Linked DNA regions of Anolis sagrei. The protein of the gene in region 2 interacts with the protein of the main gene of each other region in a biochemical or structural test. Links are inferred from orthologs where the notes say so. Each region holds a gene or a part of one and is shown on either strand. Other genes may lie near its edges. The genes, in order: SENP2, IKBKG, NFKBIA and IRAK1.

What was found.
Region 1: the proteins of IKBKG (region 2) and SENP2 form a complex in vitro, tested with the Homo sapiens proteins (2 studies listed by BioGRID and IntAct, with this or other methods). The link is inferred for Anolis sagrei from reciprocal best matches to the Homo sapiens genes IKBKG and SENP2.
Region 3: of the proteins of IKBKG (region 2) and NFKBIA, one has a biochemical effect on the other in vitro, tested with the Homo sapiens proteins (15 studies listed by BioGRID and IntAct). The link is inferred for Anolis sagrei from reciprocal best matches to the Homo sapiens genes IKBKG and NFKBIA.
Region 4: the proteins of IKBKG (region 2) and IRAK1 form a complex in vitro, tested with the Homo sapiens proteins (3 studies listed by BioGRID). The link is inferred for Anolis sagrei from reciprocal best matches to the Homo sapiens genes IKBKG and IRAK1.

What each region holds. Positions count from the first base shown.
Region 1 is NC_090023.1:222,745,700-222,752,844, reverse strand, and holds the start of SENP2 (sentrin-specific protease 2), read right to left. Parts: upstream 3,022-7,145; 5' UTR 2,988-3,021; coding exon 2,893-2,987; intron 802-2,892; coding exon 746-801; intron 251-745; coding exon 141-250; intron 1-140. Other genes in the region: TMEM41A (transmembrane protein 41A), read left to right, coding at 4,582-4,682. UniProt on the Homo sapiens protein: Protease that catalyzes two essential functions in the SUMO pathway.
Region 2 is NC_090022.1:174,520,864-174,528,538, forward strand, and holds the start of IKBKG (NF-kappa-B essential modulator), read right to left. Parts: upstream 3,025-7,675; 5' UTR 2,920-3,024; intron 4-2,919; 5' UTR 1-3. UniProt on the Homo sapiens protein: Regulatory subunit of the IKK core complex which phosphorylates inhibitors of NF-kappa-B thus leading to the dissociation of the inhibitor/NF-kappa-B complex and ultimately the degradation of the inhibitor.
Region 3 is NC_090021.1:301,262,555-301,269,399, forward strand, and holds the start of NFKBIA (NF-kappa-B inhibitor alpha), read right to left. Parts: upstream 3,009-6,845; 5' UTR 2,918-3,008; coding exon 2,700-2,917; intron 1,899-2,699; coding exon 1,790-1,898; intron 528-1,789; coding exon 320-527; intron 1-319. UniProt on the Homo sapiens protein: Inhibits the activity of dimeric NF-kappa-B/REL complexes by trapping REL (RELA/p65 and NFKB1/p50) dimers in the cytoplasm by masking their nuclear localization signals.
Region 4 is NC_090022.1:175,997,229-176,004,387, reverse strand, and holds the start of IRAK1 (interleukin-1 receptor-associated kinase 1), read right to left. Parts: upstream 3,015-7,159; 5' UTR 2,781-3,014; coding exon 2,672-2,780; intron 1-2,671.

The DNA.
Region 1 (7,145 bases), on a different chromosome or scaffold from region 2:
TAGAGCTGTATTTTAGATTACAATAGGAATTACTAACTGTAAGATACTCAGTTCCATCCTACTCTCTGCCAAAACAATAGTTCTATGCATTTAATTTGGCTTCAATAAGAAGATCCTATCATCTCAAAAAGCAAACAAACCTCATCTTTGGCTTCTGCATGCTGTTCTTCTGTCTGAAGATATTTGGATGCCAACTGGGACGGGAGTGTAATTAAATTGGCAATTCCCCTTGCCAACATACCAAAAATACCTGGAAAGAGTTAATAACATTAAATGACACATCATTTATCTAGGAAATTTGGTACGGAAGTCAAAGGAAAACTCACATCCTAAATCTCATACAGTACAATACAGTATCACTGTCACAAGGGAAAACTCCCACAGGAAGTCCTTCTTTGGGTTATGATTTTTTCTGACATTCATGTAATTTTGACTATGTTAGAGGATTGAGTCAATGGATTACACAAATGGATTCCAAGAACATTTAGGGCAGTACAATGTTCTTTACTATCTCTATGTCACAAACATATAGCAAATTACTGTCAATAGTTCTCAAACATGTATTTTTACAATGTTCTCCTCTTCTTAATCCGGGCCTTATTCAAACAACATCAATTCACTATATAAACATAATTACAGGCTACTACTAGTAATTGTTATGATCTATTTCAAGCATTTGCTCTTTCTGCTCTTTTCTTTCAAGGTTTACAATCATATGAAAAGTGATTGAACAGGGGTAATTTACCAAGTTTTTGCCTTTTTATTTGCTCATGTTCAAAGTCTTCTGGATTAGACTGAATGCTGTGAAGAGAAAAAGACAAATTAATTTGAGAAACAAGGAATCTTTCTTTCTCAGCTTGAAGTACCAATCTCCAAAAACACCATGCTCTCAGGCATAACAGGCACCATTTTACAGCTACCGAACAGTCACTGTACATATCTACAAACTTGATGGTCACATCTGCTAACCCGGAGGTTTTCCTTATAACAATACTCAATACCAATGTATGGGTTACCCAACTGACCTGCAGCATATAAGAAAGGTGGAATTTGTTAATTGTAACCATTAAGACGATGCATGCCTGCAGCAGTTATTCTTGACTTCATTACATCAAAAAACAGTATTTTCGTATTACTTGATTAATCTACTTTCTTGATATGAACAAAAAAAATTCCAATCTACCACATATATTGCAAGATTGCTGCATAGTTACATGTCCATATGGTCTCAAACAATAACAATACTGGGACACAGCTTCATTACATATACTGTATAGGAAATGATATATATTATGAGAACCAACACAAACCAAATATTTCTCCATTCACAGATATATATTATATAGCTTTGGATAGCATAGGGAAGTGTTAACACTCCTATAGTGTTTGTTTTGCTGTCTGTGGACTTTCCGTCCTGGCGATAATTGAAAAAATTTGGGGGGGGGGGAGGGGGGAGAAAGCTTGTTGTGGAAACAAGGATTGGTGAGAAAGCTTCAGTAGAGACACCTTTCCCCCATGATAACTCTTTCAGGAGTGAATTTCCCTTCCTGGGGTAGATTTCTCTCCTCTCCTATTGTCTCATCCTCACTCTTACTATGTCATTTATTGTCATAGTTATACTCTTAACTATGAGTCGTTTATAAGTTGCATGTTTGTAACTTGAGATCTGACTGTAGAATACATGCAAACTAATCGCTGTGCAGGACACGGTTATGGATTTCCCTTCTTAATTTTTTCATAGCTCACTGCTACCTGGAGACCCCAAATGGGTTGGGAACCACTATCTACTGGCTATTAGAAAGTGTGGGAATTGAAGTCCAAAACACTGGGAGGGCTGAAGTTTGACCATGCCTGATCTATACTGTTGGACGAATGCAGTTTGTCACCACTTTAACTGCATGGTTTAATGCAGAGGTCCTCAAACTAAGGCCCAGGGGGCGGATACGGCCCTCCATGGTCATTTACTTGGCCCTTACTCAGGGTCAATATAAGTCTGAAATGACTTGAAAGCACACACAACAACAACAATCCTATCTCATCAAACAAAAGTAGGCCCACACTTCCCATTAAAATACTAATAAGTTTATATTTTTAGAATTGTTTTTCATTTTAATTATTGTATTAAGTGGGTTTTGCACCTAGTGCAGTGTGCATAGGAATTCATTCATGTTTTTTTCAAATTATAATCCGGCCCTCCAACAGTTTGAGGGACTGTGACCTGGCCCTCTGTTTAAAAAGTGAGGACCCCTGGTTTAATGTTACAGAATCATGGAAGATGTGGTAGTTTTACAAGGTCTTTAGGCTTTTCTGCCAAAGAGTATTGGCGCCTCACCAAACTACAACTCCCATGTTTTTGTATTATTGAGTGAAGTCAAAGTGCCTTATTTCCACAGTGTAGTTCAGGTATGGGCAAATTTGGGCTCTCCAGGTGTTTTGGACTTCAACTCCCACCATTCCTCAGAGCCTCAGGCCCTTTCCTTTTCCCCCTCAGCCGCTTAAGCGGCTGAGGGGGAAAAGCAAGGGGCCTGAGGCTGTGAGGAATGGTGGGAGTTGAAGTCCAAAACACCTGGAGGGCCCAGGTTTGCCCATACCTGGTGTAGTTAGTGCACCAAACTGCCAGGTGTAGTTGGTGAGGTCAAACTGTCCGAGGGCCCTTCCACACAAACACATAACCCAGAATATCAAGGCAGACCATCCACAATATCTGCTTTGAAGTGGGCTATCTGAGTCCACACTGCCATATACCCCACTTCAAAGCAGATACTATGGGGTTCTATGCAGCTGTGTGGAAGGGGCCTGAGAGAGGGAGGCCTTCGGGGAAGGCTCTTCTTTGGCCGGGCAACTCCCCTCCGAAACCCCTTGGAAGGCCCGCTCCGCCCAAAGAGGAGGTACCGTCTCTTCCTCGGCCGAGCAGGCGGCGCCTCCCGGCGGCAAGTGGGCCTTGGGGAGAACCACCAGCGCAGAGCCTCGGGCAGCCATTGCTGCATAGGCCTCAGCCGCAGCGACCGGGCCGGAAGCACGTCATTGGCCAGCGACGGGGCGCTGAGGAAGTGACGTAGCCACGCTTTCAATAAGGAGAGAAAAGCACACCTGTGAAAGGGAAATACTTTAGTTTCCTTAACTCAAATCCCTCACACGCCTCAAATACGTTCCAATTCTGTATGTGGCATTCAGGTAAAGGTTTCCCTCTTGACATTAAGTCCAGTTTTGTCCGAATTCTGGGGAGTGGTGCTTATCTCTATTTCTAAGCCGAAGAGCCGGTGTTGTCCGTAGACACCTCCAAGGTCATGTGGCCGGCATGACTGCCTGGCGCGCCGTAGCGGTACCTATTGATCTACTCACTCTTTAAAAAAACCTCTAAAATTACAACAGCAAAACAACAGAGGGGAAATAATCAGGCGCATCTAATCACCTCGCAACAAAAGATTGCCCCAGGAACTGCCAGGCCATCAAATGCTAATCAAGGTGGTCAGTTGAAACATTCACACCTAGCTCCAGCAGACAAGAGTCCTTTGTCTCACCCTGGTCATTCCACAGATATATAAACCCATTTTTCCTAGTTCCACTAGACCTAATAGAGGGGAAACAATCAGACACATCTAATCACCTCTCAACAAAAGATTTCCCCAGGCACTGCCAGGCCATCAAATGCTAATCAAGGTGGTCAATTGAAACATTCACACCTAGCTCCAGCAGACAAGAGTCCTTTGCCCCACCCTGGTCATTCCACAGTTATATAAACCCAATTTTCCTAGTTCCAATAGACCTCACTACCTCTGAGGATGCTTGCCATAGATGCAGGCGAAACGTCAGGAGAGAATGCTTCTAGAACATGGCCATACAACAACCCAGATCTGTTCACATTTGCATGTTTCACTCTAAACAAACTCTAAAATTACAACAGCAAAACAACAGAGGGGAAACAATCAGGTACATCTAATCACCTCTCAACAAAAGATTGCCCCAGGCACTGCCAGGCCATCAAATGCTAATCAAGGTGGTCAGCTGAAACATTCACACCTAGCTCCAACAGACAAGAGTTCTTTGCCCTACCCTGTTCATTCCACAGATATATAAACGCATTTTTCCTAGTTCCAATAGACCTCACTACCTCTGAGGATGCTTGCCATAGATGCAGGCGAAACGTCAGGAGAGAATGCCTCTAGAACATGGCCATACAACAACCCAGATCTGTTCATATTTGCATGTTTTCGAACTGCTAGATTGACAGAAGCTGGGGCTGACAGCGGGAGCTCATTCCGCTCCCCAGATTCGAACCTAAGACCTTTCAGTTAGCAAGTTCATCAGCTCAGTGGTTTAACCCACTGCGCCACCGTTCAACCTTATGTTTGTTTTTGGTTTTTTGGACTTCATTTCCCAGAAGCCAGTGCGACAGAATTCAGGGATTGGTGTTTCATCCTGGAAATCCTGGGTCTCTGGCCCTTTAAGACTCACGAGAGGGGCGGGGCGCGGCTTGGAGCGCCAGGAGTGCCCGCCCTTTTCTGCTCCGCTGGCTCCTCTGCCCGCTGCTTTCAGTTCCGCCTCTCGTGCCTCCCCAGGACTCATCGCTGGTGCTCCGCCATGAAGCCGCTGGTCGGGTTCCTCCTAGTCCTGGGAGCCGCCACCGCCGGCCTTTCCCTGTTGTCGTCGCGGCTCCCCGGAGAGCCCCGCGCGGGGAGCAGGTGAGTCGCTGCTGCTGTCGCCTCCTCCTTCGGCTCTCTCAGCCTGGAGAACTGAGTGCAGCTTTGACACCATCCCACCTCAAAGGCGTGAAGCCATGGGAGATGTTGTACTTTGACAGGGTTTGTAGCCATCTCTGCCAAAGAGTGCTGCAAGGAACTGCAACTCCCACAATCCCACAGCCTTGAGCAAGGGCTGGGAAAGTGGTGTCGAACTGCATCAGTTCTACAGTGTGACCTCTTGGCATAATGATATTCCAGGCACTGGAGAACAGGCATGGGTGAACTTGGGCCCTCCAGGGGTTTTGGACTTCAATTCCCACCATTCCTCGCAGCCTCAGGCCCCTTCCTTCTCCCCCTCAGCCGCTTAAGTGGCTGAGGGGGAAAAGGAAGGGGCCTGAGGCTGCGAGGAATGGTGGGAATTGAAGTCCAAAACACCTGGAGGGCCCAAGTTTGCCCATGCCTGCTATATAATCTATGTAGTTTGACACCACTTTACCAATGCTGTGGATCCTGGGAGTTGTAGTTTGCCAAGGCACCAGCATTCTTTGGCAGAGAAGGCTGAAAACCTTGTGAAATCACAACTCCCATGATTCTATTGCATTGAGCCATGGCAGTTAAAGTGGTGTCAAACTGTATTCATTCTACAGCGTGGATGCACCCAAGGTTAATGTCTCAGCATCAACGCCCATAGGCACAGTTGGCTATTCCTTTATCCGATTTGTCGTTGATCTGCTCCATTGGGTTTCACGCACATCTACAGTCGACTATAGACTTTGTTAAACTCCATCTCCTGGAATTCAGTAGCATTGAGTCATGGCACTTAAAAGTGCTATCAAACTGTGTTGCTTCTCCCATGTAGATGCACCCCTTGCATCACAATTCAGTTCAGATCGTCGTGTCCTGAATTCAGAAGGTCATGATTTATGATTGATGTTTTATTGACCTTATTATGATTGTATATAATATGTTAATGTTCTAAATGTTTCTAAATGTTTTCTGATGTTTGGGCATTGTATTATGCCTCTGTAAACTGAGTCGCCCGTGGGCTGAGAAAAGTGGTATACAACTATAGTCGATAAATACAACTATACAACTATAGTCGATAAATAAATAAACTTCATTAAACTCCCAGGAATCCATAGCATTGAGCCGTGGCAGTTAAAGTGGTGTCAAACTTCATTCATTCTACAGTGTGGATGCACCCAAGGTTAATGTCGCAGCCTCAACGGCATAGACGCAGTTGGCTATTCCTTTATCTGATTTGTCGTCAATCTGTTTGTTTGGGTTTCACACAAATATATAGTCAGCTATAGACGTTGCTAAACTCCATCTCCCATTATTCTATTGAGCCATGGCAGTTAAAGTGGTGTCAAACTGCATTCATTCTACAGTGTGGATGCACCCAATGTTCCTTTGGGTTTCATGCAGATATATAGTTGGCTATAGACTTCATTAAAGTCCATCTCCCAGGAATCCCTAACATTCAGCTATGGCAGTTAAAATGGTGTCAAACTGCATTCATTCTTGGATGCCCCCAAGGTTAATGTCTCGGCACCAACACTCATAGGCACAGTGGACTATTCCTTTATCCGATTTGTCGTCGATCTGTTCCATTGGGTTTCACGCAAATCTACAGTCGGCTATAGACTTGGTTAAACTCCAGCTCCCAGAATTCAGTAGCATTGATCCATGGCACTTAAAAGTGCTATCAAACTGTGTTGCTTCTCCCATGTAGATGCATCCCTTGCATTACAATTCAGTTCAGATCCTTGTGTCCTGAATTCTGAAGGTCCCGCGACTGTGGGAGTCAGCCTAAAAATACACCGCTGCCGAAATCTGATGCTGCCCTGAGTGCGGAAATGTGCTGTTGCATGCGGAGTCAAACTGAGTTTTGGCATCAGGAGTTGTTATGAAATGCAATCATGAAAGGATCCTGAATTAAGTGGCCTCAGGAGCCCAGTGACTCGCTCTGCCAGTTAAATAAACATCAGCACTATTTGTTCCAATATGACCCCGACAGCAGGTGGAGTGACATGTCATTCCAAGCTTAAATATTTCAGTCTAAAATGTTTCAGCATGTTTGATTTATTCTGTAAGATTTTTTTTTCATGTCAGGAGCAGCTTGAGAAACTGCAAGTGATTTCTGGTGTGAGAGAATTAGCTATATGCAAGGATGTTGCCCAGGGGACGCCTGGATGTTTTGATGTTTTACCATCCTTGTGGGCGGTTTCTCTCATGTCCCCGCATGGGAGCTGGAGCTGACAGAGGGAGCTCATCCACGCTCTCCCTGGATTCGAACCTCCGACTTGTCGGTCTTCAGTCCTGCCAGCACAAGGGTTTAACCCACTGTGCCACCGGGGGCTCATTGTGTAAGATACAACTCAAGTATGGTTCTAAGTGCTTTATTGGGGTGCATCTAAACCAGGCATGAGCAAACTTGGCCCTCCAGGTGTTTTGGACTTC
Region 2 (7,675 bases):
GTCCTGGAAATAAAAAGCATGATGAAGAATGGGATGGACATGCACACAGAGCAAAGCCTAGCTCATTCAGTCACATAAACATCAATCGACCATTGCTCTTGAATAAGAGGAGAGGAACAGCAGGATTTTGCCTTATTTCTCTCTGTGGTTATAAAATACTTTTACTGGGCTATCAGATAGTAGATAGTAGCACATACATCTAAATCCTTCTCTATACAAGCAAAAATGGCTGATGCATTACTTAATAGCATGTCTATGAAAATTTTAAGTTTGAAACTTTATCCCTTGATCACAGATATTTCTTCTTGTATGTTTTACATGGCGGAGTACTGAATATGAACCTCCTGGTCATGGGCTGAAATATGTAAGAAATACATATTCACAGAGATAGCTAGCCTTCTATGGCCAATTATAAAGAGAAAACAAAGAAACTGAATTCTTGTGTCCCATAAGATGCCTAAGGATAGATTTCTAGCACTGACACTTGGATTTAGTGTAGCGAATAAATTGTATAAATTGTTAAAGGAATGGTATTCTATGTAGTCACCTACGGATGTGAGAGCTGGACCATAGGGAAGTCTGAGCGAAGGAAGATAGATGCTTTTGAACTGTGGTGCTGGAGGAAAGTTCTGAGAGTGCCTTGGACCGCGAGAAGATCCAACTAGTCCATACTTCAGAAAATAAAGCCTGACTGCTCATTGGAGGGAAGGACAGTAGAGGCAAAGATGAAGTACTCTGTTCATATCATGAGAAGACAGGAAAGCTTAGAGAAGACAATTATGCTGGGGGAAATGGAAGGAAACAGGAAGAGGGGCCGACCAAGGGCAAGATGGATGGATGGGATCCTTGAAGTGACTGGATTGACCTTGAAGAAGCTGGGGGTGGTGACGGCTGACAGGGAGCTCTAGCGTGGTCCATGAGGTCACGAAGAGTCGGAAACAACTGAACAAATGAACAACAATACATTGTGGGACAGATAGCTTGTGACTCTTCAGATGCTGAAGGACTACAACTCTCAACATCCCTACCTAGTAGTTATGTCTCATGGGAGCTGCAGTCTTACAGCATTTGGTGGACCACAGCTACCCATTCGTGTAACATGCAAGAGAGACCTAGATATATAATATATAAGTCCAGCCACAAAGCTTCCTGGGTGATCATGACCCACCTACCATCTCAGCCTAATTTATGACAGTGTTATTGCATTTTTTTTGAGTGGGCACATAATGAGGTTCATGGATACCACTCTATATTCTTTAACAACAAAAATGTAATATATACAAAGGATTATAAGGAGGAGCCTATCAACAAGTACTAAATGTAACTACAGACAGTCATAGAATCATAGAATAATTGTGTTGGAAGAGACCTCGTGGGCCATCCAGTCCAACCACGTCAAGAAGCAGGAAAATCACATTCAAATCACCCCTGACAGATGGCCATCCAGCCTCTGTTTAGTTTTAGAGTAGTGGTTCTCAACCCCAGGTGTTTTGGCCTACAATTCCCAGAAATTCCAGTCAGTTTACCAGCTGTTAGGATTTCTGGGAGTTGAAGGCCAAAACATCTGGGAACCCACAGGTTGAGAACCACTGAGTATTTATTTGAATGATAATTTTAACATCCTACAAGGAAAGACTATGTAACCTATTTGGGTTAATTGCAATGGTCTAGTTTATGTTGTATGTTTCTGTGCTGTTGTAAACCGCACAGTTTATTGATTTTATCTTGTACTAGCCATCCCCTGGCTCAGTCTGTGTATGTGTGCTTTGTATGTGAATGTGTGTCTATATGTGCATGTATATATGTGTGTTTGCGTAGATATATGTGGTTTTGTGCATGCGTTGTAATGTATTTTTTTTAATTTTTTGGCTTTTTAAGTCTCTTCTGCTGTGTTTTTTAGCGTTTTATGAGTGATGGTCACTGGCTGGCCCGATACGTGTATTGTGTCCAAATTTGATGTCAATTCATCCAGTGGTTTTTGAGTTATGTTAATTTCACAAATGAACATTACATTTTTATTTATATAGATGATGATGATGAGGACAGCAATTGCCTTAACTTATAAGAGAGAGACATTTTTATACTTTTATATTTTTACACTGGAGGGAAAGATACTAGAGACAAAGTTGAAGTACTTTGGCCACATCATGAGGAGACAGGAAAGCCTAGAGAAGACAATTATGCTGGGGAAAGTGGAAGGCAAAAGGAAGAGGGGCCGACCAAGGGCAAGATGGATGGATGGCATCCTTGAAGTGACTGGACTGACCTTGAGGGAGCTGGGGGTGGTGACGGCCGACAGGGAGCTCTGGCGTGGGATGGTCCATGAGGTCACGAAGAGTCGGAGACGACTGAACGAATGAACAACAACAACATATTTTTACACAGATTTTAGCTGCTTAATGTGTTATTTATGAGGCCTGTTTGATAATATGTTTTAGCCAATGTTGGCTAAGACTCTATGAAACTACATCTCCCAGGAGTAGTGTCAGACTCCCATTGATTCTCCACCCAGAGTCGTGTTAGGGGGAGAGCCTGGACAATTTGGGATACAACTCCCAGAATCCCCCGAGGGAACAGCCATCTGCCCTACCGAAGGGGGGATTCTGGGAGTTGTAGTCTCTACAAACAAACTTATCATCTGCCAAAGAAGGGATTTCTGGACTTGCTCCCAGAAAAGGAAGACCTCAGCCAGGCTTAGCCCACTTTGCACTCCTCTTGAGCTCCCAAATGCCATGTATATTATAGTTTTTGGACCCCAGGCACCTCAGTTTCACTTTTAGGGCAGGAAGGAAGGGCTCCTGTCCGCACACCTCCTTCGGGCGGGAGTCACAGGCTCAGTCCCCAGTCTTTGACACCCCCTTCCCAGCTCCTATTCCCTCCTTTCACCGCCTGAGTTTTACGAAAAACAGAGAGTCGCACCTTTCCTTTCGACGCCAGCCTGCCCAATGCCGCCGTCTCCTCCCGCTTCCTCCTTCCTGGAACCTTGTTTTGGTCTGATCCGGAAGTGACGTCCAGAAAGAGAAAGCAACTCCGGGAATCGAAAGGAGCAAGACCGAGGCGGAAGTGACGTCAGCAGACGGCCAGACTCAGAGAGGGAAAGCGAAGGCGAGAAAATGGGCCTGGTCTTAGAGCTGGGAGGGGGAGCCCCTTAGTGCCTTTCATGGCGGGATTGAAGAGGGAATCACCCCAAGAAGGAAATAAAGAAGGAATGTGTGGACATAGAATCATAGAATCAAAAAGTTGGAAGAGACCTCATGGGCCATCCAGTCCAACCCCATTCTGCCAAGAAGCAGGAATATTAAATTCAAATCACCCCTGACAGATGGCCATCCAGCCTCTGTTTAAAAGCTTCCAAAGAAGGAGCCTCTACCACACTCCGGGGCAGAGAGTTCCACTGCTGAACGGCTCTCACAGTCAGGAAGTTCTTCCTCATGTTCAGATGGAATCTCCTCTCTTGTAGTTTGAAGCCATTGCTCCATTGCGTCCTAGTCTCCAGGGAAGCAGAAATCAAGCTTGCTCCCTCCTCCCTGTGGCTTCTTCTCACGTATTTATACATGTCTATCATATCTCCTCTCAGCCTTCTCTTCTTCAGGCTAAACATGCCCAGCTCCTTAAGCCGCTCCTCATAGGGCTTGTTCTCTAGACCTTTTATCATTTTAGTTGCTCTCCTCTGGACACATTCCAGCTTGTCAATATCTCTCTTGAATTGTGGTGCCCACAACTGGACACAATATTCCAGATGTGGTCTAACCAAAACAGAATAGAGGGGTAGCATTACTTCCCTAGATCTAGACACTAGACTCCTATTGATGCAGGCCAAAATCCCATTGGCTTTTTTTGCCGCCACATCACATTGTTGGCTCATGTTTAACTTGTTGTCCACGAGGACTCCAAGATCTTTTTCACACGTACTACTCTCGAGCCAGGCATCCCCCATTCTGTATCTTTGCATTTCGTTTTTCCTGCCAAAGTGGAGTATCTTGCATTTGTCACTGTTGAACTTCATTTTGTTAGTTTTGGCCCATCTCTCTAATCTGTCAAGATCGTTTTGAATCCTGCTCCTGTCCTCTGGAGTATTGGCTATCCCTCCCAATTTGGTGTCGTCTGCAAACTTGATGATCCTGCCTTCTAACCCTTCATCTAAGTCATTAATAAAGATGTTGAACAGGACCGGGCCCAGGACAGAACCCTGCGGCACTCCGCTCGTCACTTCTTTCCAGGATGAAGAGGAAGCATTGGTGAGCACCCTCTGGGTTCGTCCATTCAACATGAAACACAATACATTAGCACTAACAACTAAATTATGCAGACCGATTAACTGGCCTCTTCCAGAAAATTAGAAACATTGGAGGTAAATTTCAGGCAAAAATTGGTATGATAAGAAACAAAGATGGCAGGGACCTAACAGAAGCTGAAGAGATCAAGAGAAGGTGGCGAGACTATACAGAAGATCTGTATAGGAAGGATAATAATATCGAGGATAGTTTTGACGGTGTGGTGAATGAATTAGAACCAGATATCCTGAGGAGTGAGGTTGAATGGGCCTTAAGAAGCATTGCTAACAACAAGGCAGCAGGAGACGACGACGGGATCCCAGCTGAACTGTTTAAAATCTTGAAAGATGATGCTGTCAAGGTGATGCATGCCATATGCCAGCAAATATGGAAAACACAAGAATGGCCATCAGACTGGAAAAAATCAACTTATATCCCCATACCAAAAAAGGGAAATGCGAAAGACTGCTCCAACTTCCGTACAGTGGCCCTTATTTCTCATGCCAGTAAGGTAATGCTCAAGATCCTGCAAGGAAGACTCCAGCAATACATGGAGCGAGAGTTGCCAGATGTTCAAGCTGGGTTTAGAAAAGGCAGAGGAAGGAGAGACCAGATTGCCAATATCCGCTGGATAATGGAGAAAGGCAGGGAGTTTCAGAAAAACATCTATTTCTACTTCATTGACTATTCTAAAGCCTTTGACTGTGTGGATCATAATAAATTGTGGCAAGTTCTTGGTGGGATGGGCATACCAAGCCACCTTGTCTCTCTCCTGAGGAATCTGTACAAGGACCAAGGAGCAACAGTCAGAACTGACCACGGAACAACAGACTGGTTCAAGATTGGGAAAGGCGTACGGCAAGGCTGCATATTCTCACCCAACCTTTTTAACTTGTATGCAGAACACATCATGCAAGGATGTGTGGGGCTGGATGAATGCAAAGCTGGGGTGAAAATTGCTGGAAGAAACATTAACAACCTCAGATATGCAGATGACACCACTCTGATGGCCGAAAGCGAGGAGGAGCTGAGGAGCCTTCTAATCAAGGTGAAAGAAGAAAGCGCAAAAGCCGTGTTGCAGCTAAACATCAAAAAAACCAAGATTATGGCAACAAGAATGATTGACAACTGGGAAATAGAGGGAGAAAATGTGGAGGCCGTGACAGACTTTGTATTTCTAGGTGCAAAGATTACTGCAGACGCAGACTGTGGCCAGGAAATCAGAAGATGCTTCTTGGGAGGAGAGCAATGTCGAGTCTCAATAAAATAGTAAAGAGTAGAGACATCACACTGGCAACAAAGATCCGCCTAGTCAAAGCCATGGTATTCCCTGTAGTAATCTACGGATGTGAGAGCTGGACCTTAGGGAAGGCTGAGCGAAGGAAGATAGATGCTTTTGAGCTGTGGTGTTGGAGGAAAGTTCTGAGAGTGCCTTGGACTGCAAGAAGATCCAACCAGTCCATCCTCCAGGAAATAAAACCCGACTGCTCACTGGAGGGAAGGATACTAGAGACAAAGCTGAAGTACTTTGGCCACATCATGAGGAGACAGCAAAGCCTAGAGAAGACAATTATGCTGGGGAAAGTGGAAGGCAAAAGGAAGAGGGGCCGACCAAGGGCAAGATGGATGGATGGCATCCTTGAAGTGACGGGACTGACCTTAAAGGAGCTGGGGGTGGTGACGGCCAACAGGGAGCTCTGGCGTGGGCTGGTCCATGAGGTCACAAAGAGTCGGAGACGACTGAACGAATGAACAACAAAAAGAGAAAGAAAACATGGAGGCAGTGACAAATTTTGTATTTCTAGGCCTAACGATTACTTCAGACGCAGTCTGCAGCCAGGAAATCAGAAGACACTTACTTCTTGGGAGGAGAGCAATGACCAATCTCAATAAAACAGTGAAGAGTAGAGACATCACACTGGCAACGAAGATCCGCATACTTAAAGCAAGGGTATTCCCCGCACTTCTCGGCCTGTCATTGAACATCGAGGAAACCAAAGTGCTGTTCCAGCAGTCATTAGCCAATCCCTCTCCAATGCCAGAAATACAACTTAATGGTGTAACATTAGAAAATGTTGACTATTTCCACTACCATGGCAGCCACCTCTCCACAAAAGTCAACATTGACACTGAAATACAACACCGCCTGAGCTCTGTGAATGCAGCATTTCTCCGAATGAAGCAGAGAGTGTTTAAGGACCGGGACATCCGTAGGGATACCAAGGTGCTTGTTTATAATAATAATAATAATCATCATCATCATCATCTTTATTTGTACCCCGCCACCATCTCCCGAAAGGCGATTCGGAGCAGCTTACATGGGGCCAAGCCCGAACAAGAATACAATATAACAATACAAATTGCAATAAAATAAACAACATAACATTAGATATAAAACATCAAAGCATATAAAAATAGCATTTGATGGCCTGGCAGTGCCTGGGGCAATCTTTTGTTGAGAGGTGATTAGATGTCCCAGATTGTTTCCTCTCTGTTGTTTTGCTGTTGTAATTTTAGAGTTTTTTAATACTGGTAGCTAGGTTTTGTTCATTTTCATGGTTTTCTTTTTTCTGTTGAAATTGCCCACATTTCAATGGCTTCTCTGTGTAGTCTGACATGGTGGTTGTTAGAGTGGTCCAGACCTCACTACCTCTGAGGATGCTTGCCATAGATGCAGGCGAAATGTCAGGAGAGAATGCCTCTAGAAGATGGCCATGTAGCCCGAAAAAACCTATAACAACTCATATATTTATCCTTTTATTCAAACTTTTGAATTGTTTTCAACTTGCATTGTTTTTAATATGTTGTTAACCACCTTGAGCTTCAGTTTTGGGAGAAAGCCAGAATTATTGCTGTTGTCATTATTCCAGTCATTTCTAACTTGCAGCGACCCTAAAAAGGTAAAGGTAAAGGTAGTCCCCTGACATTAAGTCCAGTCATGTCTGACTCTGGTGTGTGTTGCTCATCTCCAGTTCTAAGCCGAAGAGCCAGCGTTGTCCGTAGACACCTCCAAGGTCATGTGGCCGGCATGACTGCATGGAGCGCCCTTACCTTCCTGCCGGAGCGGTACCTATTGATCTACTTACATTTGCATGTTTTCGAACTGCTAGGTTGGCAGAAGCTAGGGCTGACAGCGGAAGCCCACGCCGCTCCCCGGAATCAAACCTGCGACCTTTCGATTTCGATCAACAAGCTCAGCAGCTCAGTGCTTTAACCCACTGCGCCACCGGGGGCTCCGCAGCGACCCTAGGTCACTTGAATTTGATGCTCTCCATGTTTGAATGGAGATTCAAACCAATGGCTGTAATAAGCAAAGTGTTAATAGTAACCAATTTTTTTTCTGGCAATATAAAAGAAAGCATTACTTTTTGTTTTACAGTTTGGAAGTTGTGGGAAGAAGG
Region 3 (6,845 bases), on a different chromosome or scaffold from region 2:
CCATACTACAGAATACGTGTGGGCAAACTTTGGCTCTCTGGGTGTTTTGGACTTCAACTCCCACAATTCCTAACAGCTGGTTTGCCCATGCTTGCTGTAGAAGCTGTACTCCAAAACGCCTGGGAAAACTTGCTATGAATGGATCAGGGGGAAAAACCCTGCATGCCTTCTCTTAACTACGTGACACTTGCCCCAGTAATCTTTATTGAGAGCTAGCCAAGAAAGTCACTTATTCATTGGGCAAAACTATGATGCCAGAGGTCGAAGTGTGCAATGACTGGGCAAGTTGACGTCAGTGGTATATCAGATATGAGCTTACCATTGTAGTTGGATGACTGTAGGAGGGAGCAGACTTGCTTCTGACAATACTGTGTGAGGACACCGACGCTGCTGAGAGAGCCCCGCTCACAAGCAATGTGCAGAGGAGTGTTTCCTCGGAAATCTCTGATCTCTGGGTCACATCCGACTTTCAGGAGAGTCTCCGCGATCTCTGGCTGGTCCGTGATCACAGCCAAGTGGAGTGGAGTCTGCAAGGGCAAAGAATGGCCTGATAAGCAAAGGAATTCTACTAGACTTCAAACCCTCACTTCAAGCACCATTTCTAATGAGGAAGTGGTTAGATATGCATGATTGTTTGCAAAGACCTTGCAAAACTGCAACTCCCACAATTCCATAGCACTGAGCTACAGCAATTAAAGTGGTATCAAGCTGCATTAATTTTGTAATGAACCATCCCCAAGTTGAAGTCTGAGGTCCCTTCCAGCCAGGCCCTATATCCAAGGATCTGATCCCAGGTTTTCTGTTTATCACAGATTATTTGGTGAGGAGTCATATAATCCAGTTTAAAGCAAAAAACCTGGGATCGGATCCTAGGATATAGGGCCTGCCTGGAAGGGCCCCAAGTGTCTGGGATTCGTCTCTGAATAGCGGGCTCTTCCCACGAGCCTAGGGCAGTGATTCTCAACCTGTAGTCCCCAGATATTTATGGCCTACAACTCCCAGAAATCCCAGCCACTTTACAAGCTGTTAGGACTTGAAGGCCAAAAACATCTGGGGACCCTGACCATTGAACAAGCCGGATAGGGCTACTGCATGTTGGAGGTCCAAACAGCTGGAGGGTGCCTGGTGTAGATGAATCCAAATGGGCAACTTAATGGATGATGTCCCCTACTACCAATTCTTTTTTTTTGTTTGTTTACTTTGGGGATAACAGTTCAAGATCTGGTTTGCTGTGAGGTTTCCAGCCTGTATGGCCATGTTACAGAAGCATTCTTTCCTGACCCTCTATTCTGCCTTGGTCAGACCACATCTGGAATATTGTGTCCAATTTTGGGCACCCCAATTGAAGGGAGATGGGGACAAGCTGGAAGGCGTCCAGAGGAGGGGGACTAAAATGATCAAGGGTCTGGAGAACTAGCCCTATGAGGAGTGGCTTAAGAGCGGGGAATATTTAGCCTACAGAAGAGAAGGCTGAGAGGAGACATATTGAGGGTCATGTATAAATATGTGAAGGGGAAATCATAGGGAGCAGCCTTGTTTTCTCCTGCCCGCGGAACAATGACTTCAAACTACAAGAAAGGAGATTCCACTTGAACATGAGGAAAGACTTCCTGACTATGAAAGCTGTTCAGCGGTGGAACTCTCTGCCCTGGAGTGTGGTGGAGGTTCCTTCTTTGGGAGGCTTTTAAGCAGAGGCTGGATGGCCATCTGTCGGGGGTGCTTCGAATGCGATTTCCCATGGGGTTGGATTGGATGGCCCACAACATCTCTTCCAACTCTCTTAAAGTACCTGATTGAGGTTATTCTGGAAATTCAGGAAAGCCGTGTCTCGTTCCGCTTGGCGAATGATTTCCAAACTCAGGGACTTTTCCTCGTGAATAATTGCCAGATGGAGAAATCTGCAAATGTACAGAAAGAGAGAAAAAAAACATTAATTTTAAAAAAAAATCATTTTTATTAGCAACAATTTCAGAATAATAATAAAAGAGTGAAAATAGGAAAATAGGTAAAATAGAGAAAAATAAGTAAAACCTCCCCAAACATACCACATACCCAAATTCCCTAAGTGTTTTTAAAATAATCCCTGAGATCAGCTTTGTCAAAGGAAAGGAAGCACATAGACATCCCACATGTCAGGACCAGATGTTGAAAGCTTGGAGTTTCCAAGGCTCGCGCATGCGCCTGAGCGTGCATCCGGGTGTTTTCCGAAAGGAGAGGAGGAAGCAGTGTGAGAGAGCGCGGTGTCCCTGGCGCGCGGCCAGGGACTTTCCAGGCGGGCGCCTCGAGGACAATAAGCCACGCCCACCCCTCCCTGAAGCCCCGCCCAAAAGGAAGAATGGAAGGCTGGAAAAACCCAGCCTTGCAAAAAGAAAAAAATTCCCCAGGATTTTTATGTAACTGGAGGAGGAAAGGGGAAAAAACAAAGGAGGAGGAAGGAAAGAATGAACAGAAAGTGGGGAACTCAAGTTTGGGCAAAGTAGATCAGGTATGGGCCAACTTGGGCCTTGGAGGTTTTTGGACTACAACTCCCAGCATGCCTCACGGCCTCAGGCCCTTTCCTTTTGCCCCTCCGCCGCTTAAACGGCGGAGGGGCAAAAGGAAAGGGCCTGAGGCCGTGAGGCATGCTGGGAGTTGTAGTCCAAAACACCTCCAAGGCCCAACTTTGCAGAAACCCCTTCCTTTCTTCCCTGAGGACTTACGTGTCTCCATCTTCGGTCACTTGCTGCTTCCAAGCCGCCTGAGGAGCCGCCACGTCGGGGAGAACCGGCTGCAAACGGATGCCTTCCAGCTCCCGAACCAGATCTTCATACTCCTCATCCTTCATAGAGTCCAGGCCGCTGTCATGGCGGTCCTGGTCCAGCTGGCGCTCCTTCTTCGGGGCCTCCATGGCGAAGAGATCCACAGCAGGGCTGAGCATGTCGAGGAGGAGAGGAGAGAAATGTGCCTGAAGGAGGAGAAGCGAGAGAGAAAGGCGGGCGGGCGGGGCTGGCTCGGGCCTATAGCGCCTCGCCTGGAAGGGGATTTCTCGGCGGGGAGGAGCCTGGCGGCGGGAATTTCCCAGCCCAGCCAGCCAGAGAGGAATTCCCTCGGAAACTTGGTGCTTTTTTTTCCACACCAGGGAAAGTACTTCTCTTCTCCACGGCTTGTTATGTGACTCAGGAGAAGCCACCCCAACTGCCCCCCCCCCCTTGTCTCAATCTTTGCCCCTTGAGAAGAAAGACAAAACAAGGCCCAACCATTCCTTCTTGGGATTTTCCTCCCTATCTGTTTTTCCCCCCTCTAGTAAACTAATCTGGCCTTGGGTGGCATGTTATTTTCGTAGGGACACCCACAAAAGGAAGGGGATGGGGTGGCATTATTATTATTATTATTATTATTATTATTGGGTATTTATTTATCGCGTCAGGGGCAGACCAAACAGTTGCATTGCATTTTTTAACAAACAAACAAAACACAAAGTTTGCAAGCTTGGTAGTTGGTTAAATGTCCTTTCATAGAATCATAGAGTTGGAAGAGACCTCATGGGCCATCCAGTCCAACCTCCTGCCAAGAGGTAGGAATGTTGCATTCAAATCACCCCTGACAGATGGCCATCCAGCCTCTGTTTAAAAGCTTCCAAAGAAGGAGCCTCCACTACACTCCAGGGCAGAGAGTTCCACTGCTGAACGGCTCTCACAGTCAGGAAGTTCTTCCTCATCAAGTTTGCAGACGACACCAAATTGGGAGGGATAGCCAATACTCCAGAGGACAGGAGCAGGATTCAAAACGATCTTGACAGATTAGAGAAATGGGCCAAAACTAACAAAATGAAGTTCAACAGTGACAAATGCAAGATACTCCACTTTGGCAGGAAAAACGAAATGCAAAGATACAGAATGGAGGATGCCTGGCTCGAGAGCACTACGTGTGAAAAAGATCTTGGAGTCCTCGTGGACAACAAGTTAAACATGAGCCAACAATGTGATGTGGCGGCAAAAAAAGCCAATGGGATTTTGGCCTGCATCAATAGGAGCATAGCGCCTAGATCCAGGGAAGTCATGCTACCGCTCTATTCTGTTTTGGTTAGACCACATCTGGAATATTGTGTCCAGTTCTGGGCACCACAATTCAAGAGAGATATTGACAAGCTGGAATGTGTCCAGAGGAGAGCGACTAAAATGATAAAAGGTCTGGAGAACAAGCCCTATGAGGAGCGGCTTAAGGAGCTGGGCATGTTTAGCCTGAAGAAGAGAAGGCTGAGAGGGGATATGATAGCCATGTATAAATATGTGAGAAGAAGCCACAGGGAGGAGGGAGCAAGCTTGTTTCCTGCTTCCCTGGAGACTAGGACGCGGAACAATGGCTTCAAACTACAAGAGAGGAGATTCCATCTGAACATGAGGAAGAACTTCCTGACTGTGAGAGCCATTCAGCAGTGGAACTCTCTGCCCCGGAGTGTGGTGGAGGCTCCTTCTTTGGAGGCTTTTAAGCAGAGGCTGGATGGCCATCTGTCAAGGGTGATTTGAATGCAATATTCCTGCTTCTTGGCAGGGGGTTGGACTGGATGGCCCATGAGGTCTCTTCCAACTCTTTGATTCTATGATTCTATGATCTGCCTGTGACAAAGAACTAGTGGGATCACAAGCCTGAAAAAGTTACAGAAAATGAACACGTCAAACTACTCTGGGACTTCCAAATTCAGACAGACAGAGTTTTGGAGCACAATACTCTTGACCTCACATTTGTGTTAAAACCAAGTATGGATAGTTGATGTTGCAATCCCAGGCGACAGCAGGATTGAAGAGAAACAACTTGAAAAGCTGTTTCTAAATCCACAATATGAGGATTTAGACTCTGGCGCAAGCCAGTAAAGACTCTGGCGCAAGCCAGTAAAGGTGGTCCCAGTGGTGATTGGCACATTGGGTGCAGTGCCTAAAGACCTTGGCCTGCACTTAAGTACAATCCGCGCTAACAAAATTACCATCTGTCAGTTGCAAAAGGCCACCCTACTGGGATATGCACGCATTATTCACCAATACATCACACAGTTCTAGACACTTGCAAAGTGTCCGATGTGTGTCCGATGTGTGATCCAATACAACAGCCAGCAGAGTGATCTTGTTTGCTGTGGACACGTTGTGTTCCAAATAATAATAAACAACTGGAAATGCTGACATGATACGATGATTTAAAGATCGAACTGCAAAGATTGGCACAAGCCAGTAAAGCTAGTCCCAGAGCCTAAAGACGGAAGTTTCGGAAAGTTCTGACTTTCTTTTGGAAAAATTTGGAAGTGACTTTAGAATCAAACCACCAGCACCCCCTATATCCAAAAGGAGTTTTGAATCTTTTTTTTTTTTTTTGGAGCAACCAAGCCTACTATCTATCTATGTGTTACAAATACATCTCAGTGTACATCACAAAGTAACATAGAATATGGACCTGGCTGTGGCGCAGCTAGTTAGTTAGCTGCATAAAATTACTACTGACTGAGAGGTTCTGAGTTCAAAGACAGCCCGGGTCAGAGTAAGCTCCCAACCATTAATAGTCTAGCTTGCTGTCAACCTATGAAGCCTGAAAGACAGTTGCATCTGTCAAGTAGGAGATTTAAGTACCGCTTTTTGTGGGGAGGCTAATTTAACGACGCCATAAAACCTTCCTGCAGCATGCAGAAGAATTGGGAAGTACTTCATCAAAGGACCCGGTGTCACAAGTAGACAGTGAAGTGGCAGCTCCCCCTGTGACCGGAAACAAGCATACCCTCATGAAGCTGGAAACGCTGAAATGTTAAATTGCCTCTATGTCTATATATGTTGCATGTCTAAATGGCATTGAATGTTTGCATGTATATGTGCATTGTAATCCACCTTGAGTCCCCTTTGGGGTGTGAAGGGCGGAATATAAATACTGCAAATAAATAAATAAATAATATCTTATCAATAATATTGCAGCTTGCAAACATGAGGATACAGCAAAATTATATATATATATATAGAGAGAGAGAGAGAGAGAGAGAGAGAGAGAGTTTTCTATGTGGCAGCACATTGTTGGCTGTGAGTAGAATACAGATCAAACTGTCAACATGTATCAATTCACTTCAGTATAGGGCTTGGGCTTGGAAAATTGCATTTTATTGCATATCCTCAGCATGTTTTTTTAAATTCCTGTAAAATATGTCCAGTTGGAGTTGGTACCTTTTTGAAACAAACTTCACACACATATATGCACACACATGTATGCACGCACCTACACACTTCACCATTGCATGATTGCACAGATGAATATACTACAACATGCTGCAACATTTTTGATAGAGTGCCATTTATTTTTTGCTAAGACATTTGGTGCACATTTAAAAGGCATGATCAGATTTTATCTTCTCCCCCATGACTAGTTTTTAGAGACTGTAAAACAGACAGGGGCCCCATCTATATTTGATTCAGTTGCTAGCTAGCTTCAAACTCTGGCGTTTAGAAAATGCATGCTGATAAAGCATGCTGTAGCGTGCTTTAAGGACTTTAAACCAACATAAACTAAGTCAGGGGAAAGTCCAAAAGAAAGCCCTTAATGTGCATTACGGTATTCCAGTATAAACTCCATTTCAAAGCAAAATTGGCTCTGCAGAATGTGAATCACTGTGCAGGCACCCAAAGCACTCTGCTGATGTGAAGATGTGCATTCTGGTTGGGGATTTTTTTCTTTTAAAAAATCATTCTTAGGGGCTGTCAAACCATGGATCCTGAAACCGGTTCAAGGCCAGATTTGGTGGTTTGTATAATCACCTGGTCCTCAAGCTGATTCCAGGATTTCATATGTAATCATTGCACAATGAAATTGCTTTCTTCTATACCGTCTTGAAACTGACT
Region 4 (7,159 bases), about 1.5 Mb from region 2:
GTCTCCTTTGAGGGAGAAAATGCGAGATATAATAAATAAATACATATCATGATAATAACACCACAACCAAAAATGTCCTAGTATCTTGATTTTTAGACCTGTTCCTTTGGTTATTTGGGGCCCTGGTTCAGAAAACTGCATTGGACAGACCACATCAGCTGTTGTTTCTTTGATACGGCTATCAATACACTATAATACAAAACTTTATTACGGTCACTGACCAGCACAAAGATATGGTTTTCTAAAGGAGAGCAGATAAGGAATCGGCAGGACAAATATACCCAGAAACAGGGCTAACATTTGGGTACCAAAATGTGTGTTATGAATCTTAGGTCACTTATACACTGTCATATAATTTTGTTTATCAAAGCAGATAATCCACATTATCTGCTTTGAACTGAATTATATGAGTCTACACTGCCATATATTCCAGTTCAAAGCAGATAATCTGGATTTTATATGGCAGTGTAGAAGGGGCCCTAGGCTTTTCACAAGAACTGACTGTGTGTTTTAGCAGCCTTCTTTGGTATATATATATGTGTGTGTGTGTGTGTGTGTATACACATATATACAAAATTAGGCTACTAAACTCCACTGTCTGTTCTTGTGAAAAGACTACAATTCCTTCTATGCTGCCATATAAAATTCAGATTATCTGTTTTGAAATGGATTATATGGCAGTATAGACTTGGGACCCTTCCTTACTGCCAAATGATCCAGATTATCCGATTTGAACTGGATTATATGGTAGAGTAGACTCAGGGCCCTTCCACACAGTCCTATAACCCAGAATATCAAGTCAGAAAATATCACAATATCTAATTGAAGTGGAATATCTGAGTCCACACTGCCATATATTCCACTTCAAAGCAGAAAGAGTGGGATTTCATTCAGCTGTGTGGAAGGAGCTTCTCGTCCCTTCTATACTGCCATATAAAATCCAGATTATCTGCTTTGAACTGGATTATATGGCAGTGTGTACTCAGGCCCTTCTACACTGCTATATAATCCAGATTACCTGCTTTGAACTGGATTATATGGTGGTGTGTACTAAGGCCCCTTCTACACTGCTATATAATCCAGATTATCTGCTTTGAACTTGATCATATGGGAATGTAGACTCAGACCTTCTACACTACCATATAAAATCCAGTTTATTTGGATTATATGACAGTGTAGACTCAGCCCCTTTCTACACTGTCATACAAAATCCAGATTATCTGCTTTGAACTGGATTATATGGGCGTGTAGATTCAGGCCCCTTCTACACTGCTATATAATCCAGATTATCTGCTTTGAACTTGATCATATGGGAGTGTAGACTCAGCCCCTTTCTACACTATCATACAAAATCCAGATTATCTACTTGGAACTGGATTACATGGCAGTGTGTACTCAGGCCCTTCTACACTGCTATATAATCCAGATTATCTGCTTTGAACTCGATTATATGGGAGTGTAGACTCAGCCCCTTTCTACACTATCATACAAAATCCAGATTATCTACTTGGAACTGGATTACATGGCAGTGTGTACTCAGGCCCTTCTACACTGCTATATAATCTAGATTATCTGCTTTGAACTTGATTATATGAGAGTGTAGACTCAGACCCCTTCTACACTGCCATATAAAATCCAGATTATCTGGATTATATGGCAGTGTAGACTCAGTCCCTTTCTACACTACCATAAGAAATCCAGATTATCTGCTTTGAACTCAATTATATGCCCATGTAAACTCAGGCCCCCTCTACACTGCCATATAATCCAGATTATCTGCTTTGAACTTGATTATATGGGAGTGTAGACTCAGACCCCTTCTACACTGCCATATAAAATCCAGATTATTTGGATTATATGACAGTGTAGACCCAGCCCCTTTCTACATTGTCATACAAAATCCAGATTATCTGCTTTGAACTGGATTATATGGCAGGGTGTACTCAGGCCCCTTCTACACTGCTATACAATCCATATTATATGCTTTGAACTTGATTATATGGGAGTGTAGACTCAGACCTTCTACACTGCCATATAAAATCCAGATTATCTGGATTATATAACAGTGTAGACTCAGCCCTTTTTTACACTGCCATAAGAAATTCAGATTATCTGCTTTGTACTTGATTATATGGGAGTGTAGACTCAGTCCCTTTTTACACTGTCATACAAAATCCAGATTATCTGCTTTGAACTCGATTATATGCCCATGTAAACTCAGGCCCCCTCTACACTGCCATATAATCCAGATTATCAATGCAGATTATCCACATTATCCGCTTTGAACTGGATTATCTAAGGCTCCTTCCACACAACTGCATAAAATCCACATTGAACCGGATTATATGGCAGTGTGGACTCAGATAACACAGTTCAAAGCAGATATGGTGGGTTATCTGCCTTGATATTCTAAATTATATGGCTGTCAGGAAGGGTCCTAAATCTACAATGCCATATAAACTAGTTCAAGGCAGGTGATTCAGATTCAAAGCAGATAATCCGGTCCTGGATTCATAATACTGCCCTGCCCTCTATCCCAGGTTCTGATCCCAGATTTACTCTATTTAAACTGGATTATATGAGTCTCCACTGCCAGATAATCCGGGATCAGATCCTGCCTGAGAGGAGGGGCGGCCACACTCCCTGAGGGGAAGCCAGGAGAGCCACTCACCGAAGCGCTGCCACTCCGCCCGGCCGAGGGCGTCCATAATCTCGTAGAACTGGCACATGACAGTGGCCGGCAACTCGTACAGGAACCTGGGCGAGTGGGAACCGGCCATCCCCCGCGGGCCCTTCCCCTGGCGGATAAGGCTGCTGCTGCTGCTGCTGAGGCGGCCACCCTCCTCCTTCTCCTTCTCCTCGTCCTCCGCCCAGGCCAGGCCATAGGAGAGGCCGGACGAGGGGGCGGGAAAAGGAGAAGAAAACGAGGAAAAGAAAGAGAGAGAGAGAAACAGAGACTGAGGGAGGAGGAGGAGGAGGCCGCCCCGAAAAAGGGCCACTTCCTCTTTAAAGCACGAGCCGCGCCCCCTTGGCAGCTCTGCGCCTGCGCCGACGTCTCCTCGCTTCTTCGGCCTGGTTGACGGAGCAGCGTTGGGAGGTCAGTCAGGCCGCCATCTTGAGTGCGGCACAGCATGACGGGAAACTTCCTTAATCCTACGTGAGGCAGCCATCTTGAATGCGGCAAAGCCTCTATTGGCCTATTGCTTTGCCTCACCCGCCTTCAGTTTCGCTGACTGCTGCTTCTATGGACATTTTGAGTGTTCCAAATGCTTGGGACCAAGAGTGTTTGAACGTTGAGAGCTTGTATCTACTTTAAAGCCTGTGGCTGCCTCCTTCCTGAAGGATTCTGGGGCTTGTAGTTTAGGGAGAAGACTTTAAGAGAGGTCCTGAGCCTCACTAAACTACAAGCCCCAGAGTTCATCGGGAGGCAGCCACAGGATTTAAAGGAGTGGTTCTCCACCTTCCTAATCCCATGACGCCTTAATACAGTCCCTCGTGTAATGATGACCCCCAACCATAACATTGTTTTTGTTGCTACTTCATAACAGTCATTTTACTACTGTTATCGATCATAATGTAAATATTAGATATGCAAGATGTATTTTCATTCACTGGACCAAATTGGGCACAAATACCCAATGCACCCACATGTAAATGCTAGTGGGGTTGGGGGAGGATTGATTTTGTAACTTGGGAGTTGTAGTTGCTGGGATTTATAGTTCACTTATAATCAAAGAGGAGCCCCCGGTGGCGCAGTGGGTTAAAGCACTGAGCTGCTGAGCTTGTTGATCGAAAGGTCGCAGGTTCGATTCCGGGGAGCGGTGTGTGCTTCCGCTATCAGCCCTAGCTTCTGCCAACCTAGCAGTTTGAAAACATGCAAATGTGAGTAGAGCAATAGGTACCGCTCCGGCGGGAAGGTAACAGCGCTCCATGCAGTCATGCCGGCCACATGACCTTGGAGGTGTCTATGGACAACGCTGGCTCTTCGGCTTAGAGATGAGCACCACACCCCAGAGTCAGACATGACTGGACTTAATGTCAGGGGACTACCTTTACCTTTACCTACCTTATAATCAAAGAGCATTCTGAACTCCACCAGTGATGGATTTGAACCTAACTTGGCACACAGAACTCCCATGACCAACGGAAAACCCTGGAAGGGTTTGGTGGGTATTGACCTTGAGTTTGGGAGTTGTAGTTCACCTATATCCAGAGAGCACTGTGGACTCATGCAATGGTGGATCTGGACCAAACTTGGCATAAATACTCAGTATGCGCAAATGTGAACACTGGTGGAGCCTGGGGAAAATAGACCTTGACTTTTGGGAATTGTAGTTGCTGGGATTTATAGTTCATTATAATCAAAGAACATTCTGAACTCCACCAACAATAGAATTGGCTCAAACTTCTCACATGGAATCCCCATGACCATCAAAAAATACTGTGTTTTCTGATGGTCTTTGGCGACCCCTCTGACACCCCTTCATGACTCCCTCAGGGGTCCCGACCCCCAGGTTGAGAAACACTGATTTAAAGGGATAGCTGCTGTAGTGTGATGAAGTTTGTAATGAGGTAGCTTGGCCATGGGACCCAAGTCTAAGCACCACATTAATGTTTAAAGGTAAAGGTTGTCCCCTGACATTAAGTCCAGTCATGTCTGTCTCTGGGGTGTGGTGCTCATCTCAATTTCTAAGCCGAAGAGCCGGTGTTGTCCGTAGACACCTCCAAGGTCTTGTGGCCAGCATGACCGCATGGAGCGCCGTTGTTTACTGCATACATATCTTATACGTACGTTTAAGATCAAGTCAGGAGATGCTGTGGCTTTAATTTTAATATGCATTGATTATGTTGAATTGTTTTTAAACTGAATTTTTAATACTGTTTATATTGAATTCTGTTTCAATGTTTGTATATTTTATATTAGCCGTCCCTTGCTGCATTGCTGTGGCCCAGTCTGGTGATCTGGAAAATAAAGTAATGAGTGTTGGTTTCTAATATATGTAATTTCTTTATGCTTGTGGATAAACTGTATTTGATTACATTTTCAAATACTGATGGAAGGGAGTCGGACTGGATGGCCTTAAGTATTTTCTTTTGGCCATAGGGGTTATGTGTGGGAAGTCTGCCCCAATTCTCTCGTTCGTGGGGTTCAGAATGATCTTTGATTGTAGGTGAACTATAAATCCCAGTAACTACAACTCCCAAATGTAGTCTATTTTCCCCAAACTTCATCTGTGTTCCTACTTGGGCATATGGAGTACTCCTGCCAAGTTTGGTCCAGATCCATCATTGTTTGAGTCCACAGTGCTCTCCCAAACTCAAGGTCAATGCCCACCACACCCTTCCAGTATTTTCTGTTGGTCATGGGAGTTCTGTGTGCCAAGTTAGGTTCAATTTCATCATTGGTGAAGTTCAGAATGCTTTTTGATTGTAGGTGAACTATAAATCCCAGCAACTACAACTCCTAAATGACACAACCCCCCCCCCCCAACCCCACCAGTATAAACTTAATAGTATTTTAATGGGAAGTGTGTGCCTGCTTTTTGTCTGAAGAGATAGGTAAACCATATTTGATTACATTGCTGTTGTGTGCTTTCAAGTCGTTTCAGACATAGGTTGACCCTGAGCGAGGGCCGGGTAAATGACCTTGGAGGGCTGTATCTGGCCCTCGGGCCTTAGTTTGAGGACCCCTGACTTAAGCCCCCCCCCCCCCCCGAATCAAAATTCTGGCTATGGGCCTGCAGTGGGGGAAGAGTGTGAATGATAGCTATCAGAGACTGAAATGGGGACACTGGTTGGTTGAAATAACACTGAAGAACATATATATGTCCATGGAGCTTACCTTTTTATCCCATTATGAGGTATTGCCATCAGAAGGACAGGTCTTTCCTTGTTTGGAAGCGGATACACTCATGCCTGACTTGCTATTCTCTCTGAAGAATGTAAGCCCTTTCTACATGGCATTCTTCTGTGATGGCAGTCCTCTTGGAGCCTGATTAGGACATATCCTGTAAGCAACTCAAATAATAGGAGAAATCCAGGATAGTCTGTATGACAGATTTTTGTGCTGTTGACCAAGATAAAAGGCAAAGTCACAACACTGTTGCCAGTGCCATCACAAGCCTGCAATATTTCAATATTGTAGTTGATTTTAACGCATTTTGGGGTGTTGAATTTGAAAAACAAACAAAAAATGTCATAAAACACAGTTATTTCACCAATTTAATTCCTAAATTCCAACACTTATTTCATCAGTCACATAGTATAACCTAAGAGTCCTGAAAGCAAGTTGTGAAAACAACTGTAATATAGCAAATCTGAGGTCTTTTTGTTTGGATTTCGAATGCCAAATTCTTATAGAACCTGCAAACATTTTTAAAAAATAGTTATTATGACACTCATTTTTGCAATTCTGTGAATTAGTGTGCATGCATGTGGTGGGCTGGTGTTCTGTAAACGGTTTGTATGTATGTACACAGTTGTACTCTACAAAGCTGGGCCCTTTTAAAGAATCACGGAAGTACCTGGCAATCAACTTATTTAGTTATTTATTTATGAAATATATGCCCCATCTTTCCTGCCTCAAGGCAGCTTACACTCAGTATAAACATACAATATAATTGTTTAAACAAAACCATAAATATGAGTGAATGCTGTGAAACACTAATTAAACCCCAATAAAATACATTGAATACCACACTGATAATACGTAACAAAGTCGAAGAGCCTTCCTAACTTAGTTTCCTCCAAAGACTTCCTTTGAAAAGGAGGTTTTTTGGCTCATCCTGAATGCCAAAAAAGAGAGTGCAGATCTAATCTCCCCTGGGAGGGCATTCCAAAGAGAGGGAGCCACTCCCAAGAAGGACCCCTCTTTAGCGATCGTCAAATGGAGACTGTCACGGATGCTTGAGGACACCAGAATTTCCCCACTTGATCTTAACAATCTCCTCAGTGTTTACAAAGGAACCCGTTGTCTCAGGTAATCTGGACTGATGCTGTGAAAGGCTTTAAAGGTCAAAATTAGTACTTTAAATCAGACCCGGAAACTAAATGGGAGCCAATGCAGCTGTTTCAGGAGTGGGATACTTGGTTCTCTTATATCCACTCACGCTAACAACCTACCTGTCGATCTTTGAACAAATTGAAGTTTCCAAACCGT